2 linked regions of the Daphnia pulex genome follow. The protein of the gene in region 1 interacts with the protein of each later gene in a biochemical or structural test. Links are inferred from orthologs where the notes say so. Each region holds a gene or a part of one and is shown in the gene's direction. Other genes may lie near its edges.

Region 1 (4,421 bases):
GTCTTCGTTCCCAGTTTCGACTAAGTTCTGTTGGGCAAGCCGAGGATTTCTTTTTGGAACTTTCAACTACTGCCAAATGATCCTTTAGATTGGGAAGATTACTCACAAAGCGGGATGAGACTTCAACGAGCTGTCGCATCAATTTAACATTCAGCATGCAGGGAGGGGTAACAAACCGGACGGTCTTCAAATCCTTCTCCTGAGCTGCTTAAATGATGCTTTTGGATTCGTGAATGTGTGAAGCGACGGAGCATAATACTCGGGCGTATTTGTTAAACGTAGCATAGTTTGGCTCAGCTTCATAGAGTACATGCCACAAATTGACCATCAACTGCATTAGCTCACACATGATCCAGGGAGCAATAACTTGTTGCTGCATAGGAAGTAAATTCCAAATAGGTTTTCTGCTACTGATTTTAGCATTCTGCATCTTGGGTTTGTTAGTGGTTTTGTCGGCGGTATCTTCGTCTTCGGCTTCCATCATTTCGACCTCCTGTTCAAGTTTTGCAATAGCTTCTTCGTCGTCCTTTTCTTTCGACTCTCCCTTCTTCAGCATGTGAGTGTAGAGCGTGTCCCACATTGTCGTCACCACCGACACCATCTGACTAGCTTCATCTGCAACGGTGTCGGTCAGCAAGAGGCTGTCAAGCCACATGATAAGGCCACGATGTTGAATCAAGTCATAGGTAATGATTGAATTCTGAAGTGAAGATTGTACGACTTCAAGTATGAGCCGCTGTAAATCAAACAAAGAAAAATGTCTCGATGAAATCTCAAACTAAAATTCAATTACTAAAAAAATAACCTTATCAGTTTTGTCGGACAATAGATTGGATGGCTGCAAGGAGAGAAGGATTGGAAAGACTCTTCTTCGAGCACACACTAAATAGTCCTGACGACTTTTGATGCCATCTTGAAGAAGGCTGAGTAAAAAACTCCTTTGAAGCGACCTCTGTTCAGGTAGTTCAGTGTTATGAAGCATGACGAAAAATTCTGGAACTTGGGTAACATCCATAGCCGATTTTACCTAGAAACAATGAAAGGAATGGCGTTTAAGTTTTAAACGAGAAGGAAATTGCAATCAATTAACAGGAACATACCAGTAGAAAGTTATTGATTGCACGGTACATTGGGTGAGAAGGATCTTGAACGATGGCTGCAGCTTTGGCAAGAAATAATGCAATGATTGGACAGCTTTGGTGGTTTTAACATTTAACAGAAAATTTTGGTTTCCAGGGCATTGCTCCAGCATTAAGAGTCCACCGTTTGTAAGGATGGAACACGTTCAAAATTTCAATCCCTGTTTGAAAGTCACTTTCGTTAAAATGACGGGAGCAAATATGTGAGGTGCTCGTCAAATTACTACATGGAATTACTTCTTGCCATTTTGATAATGAAGTTTTAGGAATTGCAAACAGGGTAACCTCATTTTCTTTTTGATTTCCTTTGTAATATGTTGATTTACAACCAGGAACAGCACACCTGCCAACCATTTTTACATAAATTATGGTTAGGCTTCTTTCACGTAATACACAAAAATGGCCGCCGAAAGTATTATTTGAAACTCAACGTCTTATCACTAGATGGCTCTTTTTAAAGTTTCCACTTCACAACTTCTGACAGGCTCCGCCCTAAAACCCCCTGAAAATCGGCTTACGTTTACCCTGAAACCGGGATAGGGAAGCCAACACAGCCATGAACTGACCAGGTATCTATAGCTCTGCTTGCGGTTGAAGCGGTGGCGTCCTGAAATATTTTCTGACAAGTGGCAACGTTGCACCAGGGACGTTCACGCCTTGATATTCTCCAAGTGTCACTTCCACAACCGCTTTTTTTTGGATATTAAATATTTTTCAGCAAATTGTGCTGATACTACATTTCAAGATATTGATCGTAAGTGAATAAAGTGATTTGAGGTTCTATTCATTGACCGGTTTAAACCAAAGTCTTACTCCACTTTTATGTGTGTGTTTTCGCCCAGCGTCCTATCTATCAAAATGGCTGTCGAATAGTTTCGTTTCGCCCGCTTATCTCGTTGTGATCTGCTAATTTTGTGTAAGCCATTTCATTAATGTTATCTATTCCCTTTCATTTTAGAGTCTGACAGGAAGGAGCAATGCAGACCATCAAGTGTGTTGTTGTGGGGGATGGTGCAGTGGGTAAAACTTGTCTTCTGATTTCTTACACCACCAACAAGTTCCCGTCAGAATATGTTCCAACAGTAAGCTATCATGTGATACTCTCTCAAGATGTTATTTCTAACAGCTATTTGACATTTTTTAGGTATTTGACAATTATGCTGTCACTGTTATGATTGGAGGTGAACCTTACACTCTTGGGTTGTTTGATACAGCAGGTGTGAATTCCTTTCTACTTCATTTATATATATTTTTTTTCATTGTTACTTAACAATATTTCCTTAATTTTATGACAACAGGTCAAGAAGATTATGACAGATTAAGACCACTTAGTTATCCACAGACTGATGTGTTCTTGGTGTGTTTTTCTGTTGTCTCACCGTCGTCATTTGAAAATGTCAAAGAAAAGGTTAATATTAGTAGCTCAATCATTAAAAAACTGCAAACTAATGCACTCCTGTTTTGTAGTGGGTTCCTGAAATTACACACCACTGTCAGAAGACACCTTTCTTGTTAGTTGGAACGCAGATCGATCTGCGAGACGACGCGGCAACTGTAGAGAAGTTGGCAAAAAATAAGCAAAGAGTGATCACTATCGACCAGGGAGAGAAGCTAGCTCGCGAACTGAAAGCAGTGAAATACGTGGAGTGCTCTGCCCTCACTCAGGTAAGTCGAGCAAATTCTGTTTCTCCATAGTCGCAAATAGGTAACATGGTTGTTGGATTATGTCTCTCGCAGAAAGGGTTGAAGAACGTCTTTGACGAAGCCATTTTGGCAGCACTGGAACCTCCTGAGCCTATCAAAAAGAGGAGGTGTAATATTCTGTGAGCAAGACAAATTGACAGCAAAACAGGCAAAATAAAATTTCCTTTATATAAAATAAGGAGAGCTAAAAAAAAACACTCTTAAATGACACCTTGCTACTAACCAATGGAATTATTCAACGAGAAGATGGAAAAGCAAAATACTGATGATACGTTCTTTTTGCCAGTTCTTGCATTAACCAGTTTCAACGTGTCATTATCGTTTCGATTATTTTGTGTGTGCGTGCGCGTGTTTCGCAGGCCATTTGCCGCGCTCTTCCAATCTTCTTTTCATTCATCCTCTACCTTCTCGATCTAGGAAATAACACATACCTGTTCTGTTGCTCTCCTTCCTTTCTCCTCTCTTTCTTTGTTCATAAAAAAAGAAGTAAGCATAACAAAAGAACTTTGGCCTCATCATTGTAATCCTCATCGCAAAACTTGTCTGTATGGCATAGGAGAGAATATACAATAAAATTTTCTCTTATACCTTGCAGTTATTAATGCTGGTCAGTTCAGAATTGTCGCTACATTGGACGATTGCGTCGTCGCAATGTTATGGCTAATCTGCTACTATTTTTATTAATATAAGTAAAACATTTGATTGAATTTGACTTTTGACGCTTAGGATCGCTGGAACAGATGTGAAAGTAAGATTGCGTATGGCACTTGCGCATATCATACATTGATAAATAGTTTTGCCGGTTGGTTAGCAACTCATTTGCTCATTGACGTCATTTATTTGTGTATCAGCAGTTTTTAATCTACTACAAACGAAAAACGAGTTCAATTTTAAAAGTCCTGGTTGGTATGAACTAATATAGAACTTTATCACATGTTTTTGATAAGCTGTCGTTCAGCGACAGCGAAATGAATTTTTTTTTAACTACTCTCCCCAAAGGTTTTTATTTTTACTGTATATTACAACTTAAGTAAATTTTTTTCAATAACCGGCTGAATTTTTATGCAAATTCTTCTCGGAATTTATAAAGACATCGGAAAATCCGTTGAAAATAATTGTGATTTATATTTATTTAGCAACAATTTTTAGCAACAAAAGATATGATCATCATCAATCAAGGCAAGCATAAAAATTTAGATTATAAATCCGTGATTTTAACCAAATATATTAATTTTACTTTTTTCATAGAATTTGATACGTATTAAGCAGCAAGCTTATTTTTAATTTAAACATTCGAATATGTTGGAGTAGTAATCCTCTTCAAAGAATACGCTGGAGAAATGCATAGAACTCATCGGCCCCAAACAACCATCGTAATTGCTTGGTAGACAAGAGGGATCAACGTGGTGATGCAATGTTTTGAAGCACGAACCATGGAAAAACAGCTTCGGGATAAAATCAAATAACTGACATTAGATGCATAGTCTACAACAGTGAAAGGTGATAACTACAAGTGCATACAAAAACAACTAACCCGATTACGAATTTTGTTTGATAAGAAAGGCCATATCATAGCCA
Region 2 (4,231 bases), on another chromosome or scaffold:
ACCTTGGTTGATTCTCGGGTTTCCGGAACTCATCCGGCTACTACTTGTACTTGTCGTATTTTAATTTTATTTCAAAAAGGAAAAAGAGGCCGATCCTTGTTATTATTATCAAGTTTTTTTCGTTTAGATGGACAGAATGGAAAGCGAGAGAGAGAGAATTTTTCTATTTGGCGTTTTCTATACCGGATGCGTTGATATTTTTCCTGTTTTTCATGGCCCATCACCCATTCGTTACCCCATATCCCCGCTATAGTCGGCAGCCCAGTCCGGCCATGTCGTGTTGTATTTATTTGTTCACATGTTCAAAGCTGCCAGGAGAAACGAGTCGACTCGAGTCAGAGAACTTGTCAAATCGATAACGAGTCTTTGATGACTGCGATCCGGTTGCCACTCGACGAGTAGGACGCGCCAACGGGAGAAAAAAAAAAAAAAAAAAAAAAAAACAACGCAACAACAACAACCCGCCAGGTGGCAGTTATCGGTCCGTGACCGAGCCCGAGTGAAATTTCTTTTCGGCGTGCTGCACACATAGTAGAAAACGGAATGAAAGAAATGGGAAAAAGCCAAATAATAGAAAAGAGAATCAAATAAAACAATATTAGACGATCGAGCCAGCGAGGAGGAGAGATATAGAGAGAGAAATGTTTTACTCGCTGTCCAAACCGCCTTCCTTGTGGGTTTTTTTCTTTCCATCAAAACCCCGCCCTATTGTGGAAAAAAAAAAAAGTCTTTCTCTTTCGTTCGTTCATTCTTTTTATGATTATGATGATGATTCCCCACACAGAAAAAAAGTACTGCTGCGCGGAATCAGTCACCGAGTTGACGGCTTGCGCGACGGTGGACTTTTGTGTGTGTCTCCTTCCAAACTGCATCGTTAAGTGAATCCCTTCTTAGTTGTCGCCTTTTTTTCTAAATTGTTGTTGATGTTGTTGCGGTCCCTTCCCTCTTTTGCTAATTTCCCTACAAACTCGTTTCGTTTCGTTTTTTTGTGCACCGTTCATCATCGTCTTTCAACACCTTTGAACCCGTCGCGTGCGATACCCCGAAGGTTTCTTTTCTTTTCTTCTTCTTCTTCACGACGCTGCTGGATTTTATTTTTTATATTTTTAAGACGTTTGTTTGAAAGGAGCGATTTGTGGGTTGGGCACCACTTTTTCTCTTTTTTCTTATTTTTTAAACGCAGAAAAAGGAAGAGAGAACGAAAGAGAGAGAGAAAAAGATGAATGCCAGCGCCTATATTGGACGTGAGAGTGTGTGTAAAAGATAAGGTCAAGCGCGTCTGGCTAACATTCACGCAGTCGACACCCGGTGCTAACCAGTGTCGGAACTCGTGTGCCGTAGCTCTTCTTCTCTACGAAACTGCGCGTGCCTTTCAAGTGCGCATCGAACATTTCCCACCCTAAATTTTTAAAAACAAATAACCTTGTGACAACATTTTCATTCGGGAAAAAACGAAAAAAAAAGGCGAGTTAGTGATTTTCGTGTGACGGGTGTCGATAACTCACGACAGTCGGTTCGAAAATGGTGTGAAAAAGAGATACCGATTTAGAAATGGGCAGGTAGTGTTTTTGCTTTGGTTTTTCGTGTTTGTGTCTGTGTGTTTCTTTTTCCTGTTTTCTTTTCGTCTCGAAACTTAATCTTGTTTGTTTTATCCCCGATTGGCTCACGAAAAACAAAAAAACCAAAAACAGGAGTTTCATCTTATCGAGGCCGTCTCGCCGTAAACTGAAGCAGTCGGGCATCTTGAAGGAGCGCGTTTTCGGCTGCGACCTGGGCGAACATTTGCTCAATTCGGGACGTGAGAGTAAGTCTCTTTTACTTGTTTTTTGTATTTTCAAATCATTTTTAAATAAATAATCGAGCCCATAAATGTCTCAATTTCATCATCGTGATCCGTTTTGTGCGTGTGTTGCTCTACCCCAGTTCCGATGGTGTTGAAATGCTGCGCCGAGTTCATCGAGGAGTACGGCATCGTCGACGGCATTTATCGATTGTCGGGCATCACCTCCAACATCCAAAAGCTCAGGTGAATTGCCGTCAATTGCTTTTTTTCTATCTCCCCCGACCAATTTTTTCAAATCAATCCCGCTCCGCTTCGTTTTGACTACCCCGCAATTTACCCATTTGATGGGGAGGAGCGCCTCCAGATGGATTGCGTTTTGTGTGCACAGAGGGAAATCTCGACGGTAAAGAAATGGAAAAAAACATGTCCGATAAGAAAGAAACCTGTTTCTCGACATGCTGATGACCTGATAGCGTGTGACGCAAGTTCCTTTTTTTGTCCCGCGAAAAATATTTCTCCATTTTGATTCCCCCCCTTCAATTGTGTGACATGACAGCTCCCGTTTTGCACTCTCGACTGGCTGGAAAAAAACTTTCTAAATTATTTTCTGTCCGTCATTTTTATTTTTTTTATTTTCTTTTTTGGTTATCCACTTAGAAATGCTTTTGACGAGGACAGGGTGCCGGCTCTGGTGGAGGACGAGGCCATCCGACAGGATATGCACGCCGTTTCCTCGCTGCTCAAAATGTATTTCCGCGAACTGCCCAACCCGCTGTGCACCTACCAGCTCTACGACCAGTTCGTCAACGCCGTCCAGGGACCTGATCATCTCAGAGTGGTTCGAATGCGCGAGGTAAGGAACCTGAAACCAAATCGAATAATAAGCCCCATCGATTTTTCGTTTCACCCGCATTTCAACTCATTTTTATCTCTTTGATCCGAAAATCAATTCGCCCATTGCGCAGGTGGTCCAGCAACTGCCGCCGCCTCATTTCCGCACGCTCGAGTACTTGACTCGACATTTGGCGCGGGTGGCAGAAAATAATGCCTCGACGGGCATGACGGCCAAGAATGTGGCCATTGTATGGGCGCCGAATTTGCTGCGTTGCAAAGAACTGGAATTTGGTGGCGTTGCTGCACTTCAGGTATGTGACAGAGAAAATAAACAAAAAGAGGCAAGGCTGGAACCCGGGCCGTTGGGCCTCTAACACTTTTTTGTGCATCTGGTCTTGGATGTTTTGTACGCAGGGAGTGGGCGTGCAAGCGGTAGTGACGGAATGTCTGGTACGGTACGTCGATTTGATCTTCAGCGATAAGGTGCCGGCCATCCCCGTCCAGCTCAGCAGCGACGAGCAGCCGAGCAGCGTCGGCGGCGGCGGAGCCTTGAAGAGGACCCGACCCAAATCGCTGGCCATCTCGACGCCGACTAAGCTCCTCTCGCTGGAAGAAGCTCGCAACCGGGCCCTGCAACTGGCCAGCAGTCAGAATGACACGCAGTACATTGAGGTGGGCGGTGGGCCAGCCTCGCTTCCGCCAAAGTATCACACGGTCATCGAGCTACCCAACGGTGACGCTCGCAGCAAGCGCGGCCACAGCCTCAAGCACAAGAAATCGCCGCTCGGCTGGAAATCACTTTTCGCCAAGCCCAGCAAGGGCCGCTCGCCTTCCGCCAACAAGGCCCAGCGCAAGAACTCATCTGCCAGCACCAGCTCCACCGTCAGCATGCCGGCCCAGGTGGCTGGATCTGGCGGCTCTTGCTCGTCTGCAACTCCGCAACGGGCCATGACGTACGTCCGGCCGAGATTGAGACCCGTCAAGAGCGCCGAATCTCTTGTGGCTTCCAACCGCAACTCGTCGGCCGGCGAGTCCAGCCAACTGACGAGTCCAGCCGAGGCAGTAGCCCTCATCACCGCCAAACCGGCCGATCATCAGTCAGAGCGCAGCAGCGGCCCGTCACCGCTGAGGGATGGCGAAGATTCGGCTGTGCGATTGGCCGGCGACGGCGATGACGAGTCGATTCAAGACGGGTCGCTGTCCCGCTGTCACAACCGCTCCGTCTCTCACGACTCGTACTTCCGCCTGCTCATGACCAGCCGGACGGGCAGCATGCAAGTCGATCCGCTGGACGAGGAGGGCGACGCCAGTCCAGAAGCCAGCGCACGTCAGCCAGGACAGTCCAACGACGCCATTTACGCTGAGATCTCAAAATCCGGAACCAAAAGTAAATTTCTCTCTCCTTTCCTCATTTATGATTTGATTTAAGGACGCCCACCAATCCGCCTGTCGGACGATGTTATAAAATATTTGAATGGCTAATGAAATTTCAGATTCGAAAGAGGAGACCACACGAACGCGGGGCTCGCCGTCCGTCGAGTCGCCAGGTCTCGAATTCGGTAAGAACATGAACCTGACGGCGGTGGAAGACCCCCATTCCGGCAGCTCCAAGAT

What was found.
Region 2: of the proteins of cdc42 homolog (region 1) and rho GTPase-activating protein 32-like, one has a biochemical effect on the other in vitro, tested with the Homo sapiens proteins (3 studies listed by BioGRID). The link is inferred for Daphnia pulex from reciprocal best matches to the Homo sapiens genes CDC42 and ARHGAP32.

Annotation. Positions count from the first base shown.
Region 1 is NC_060017.1:3,183,219-3,187,639, reverse strand, and holds cdc42 homolog, read left to right. Parts: upstream 1-1,738; 5' UTR 1,739-1,893; intron 1,894-2,097; 5' UTR 2,098-2,116; coding exon 2,117-2,221; intron 2,222-2,283; coding exon 2,284-2,356; intron 2,357-2,437; coding exon 2,438-2,547; intron 2,548-2,606; coding exon 2,607-2,804; intron 2,805-2,876; coding exon 2,877-2,966; 3' UTR 2,967-3,430; downstream 3,431-4,421. Other genes in the region: nucleolar pre-ribosomal-associated protein 1-like, read right to left, coding at 209-736, 806-1,027, 1,101-1,130; alpha-tocopherol transfer protein-like, read right to left, coding at 4,124-4,288, 4,378-4,421. UniProt on the Homo sapiens protein: Plasma membrane-associated small GTPase which cycles between an active GTP-bound and an inactive GDP-bound state. In active state binds to a variety of effector proteins to regulate cellular responses. Involved in epithelial cell polarization processes.
Region 2 is NC_060021.1:6,608,810-6,613,040, reverse strand, and holds part of rho GTPase-activating protein 32-like, read left to right. Parts: intron 1-1,691; coding exon 1,692-1,804; intron 1,805-1,923; coding exon 1,924-2,026; intron 2,027-2,440; coding exon 2,441-2,636; intron 2,637-2,748; coding exon 2,749-2,928; intron 2,929-3,031; coding exon 3,032-4,004; intron 4,005-4,110; coding exon 4,111-4,231. UniProt on the Homo sapiens protein: GTPase-activating protein (GAP) promoting GTP hydrolysis on RHOA, CDC42 and RAC1 small GTPases. May be involved in the differentiation of neuronal cells during the formation of neurite extensions.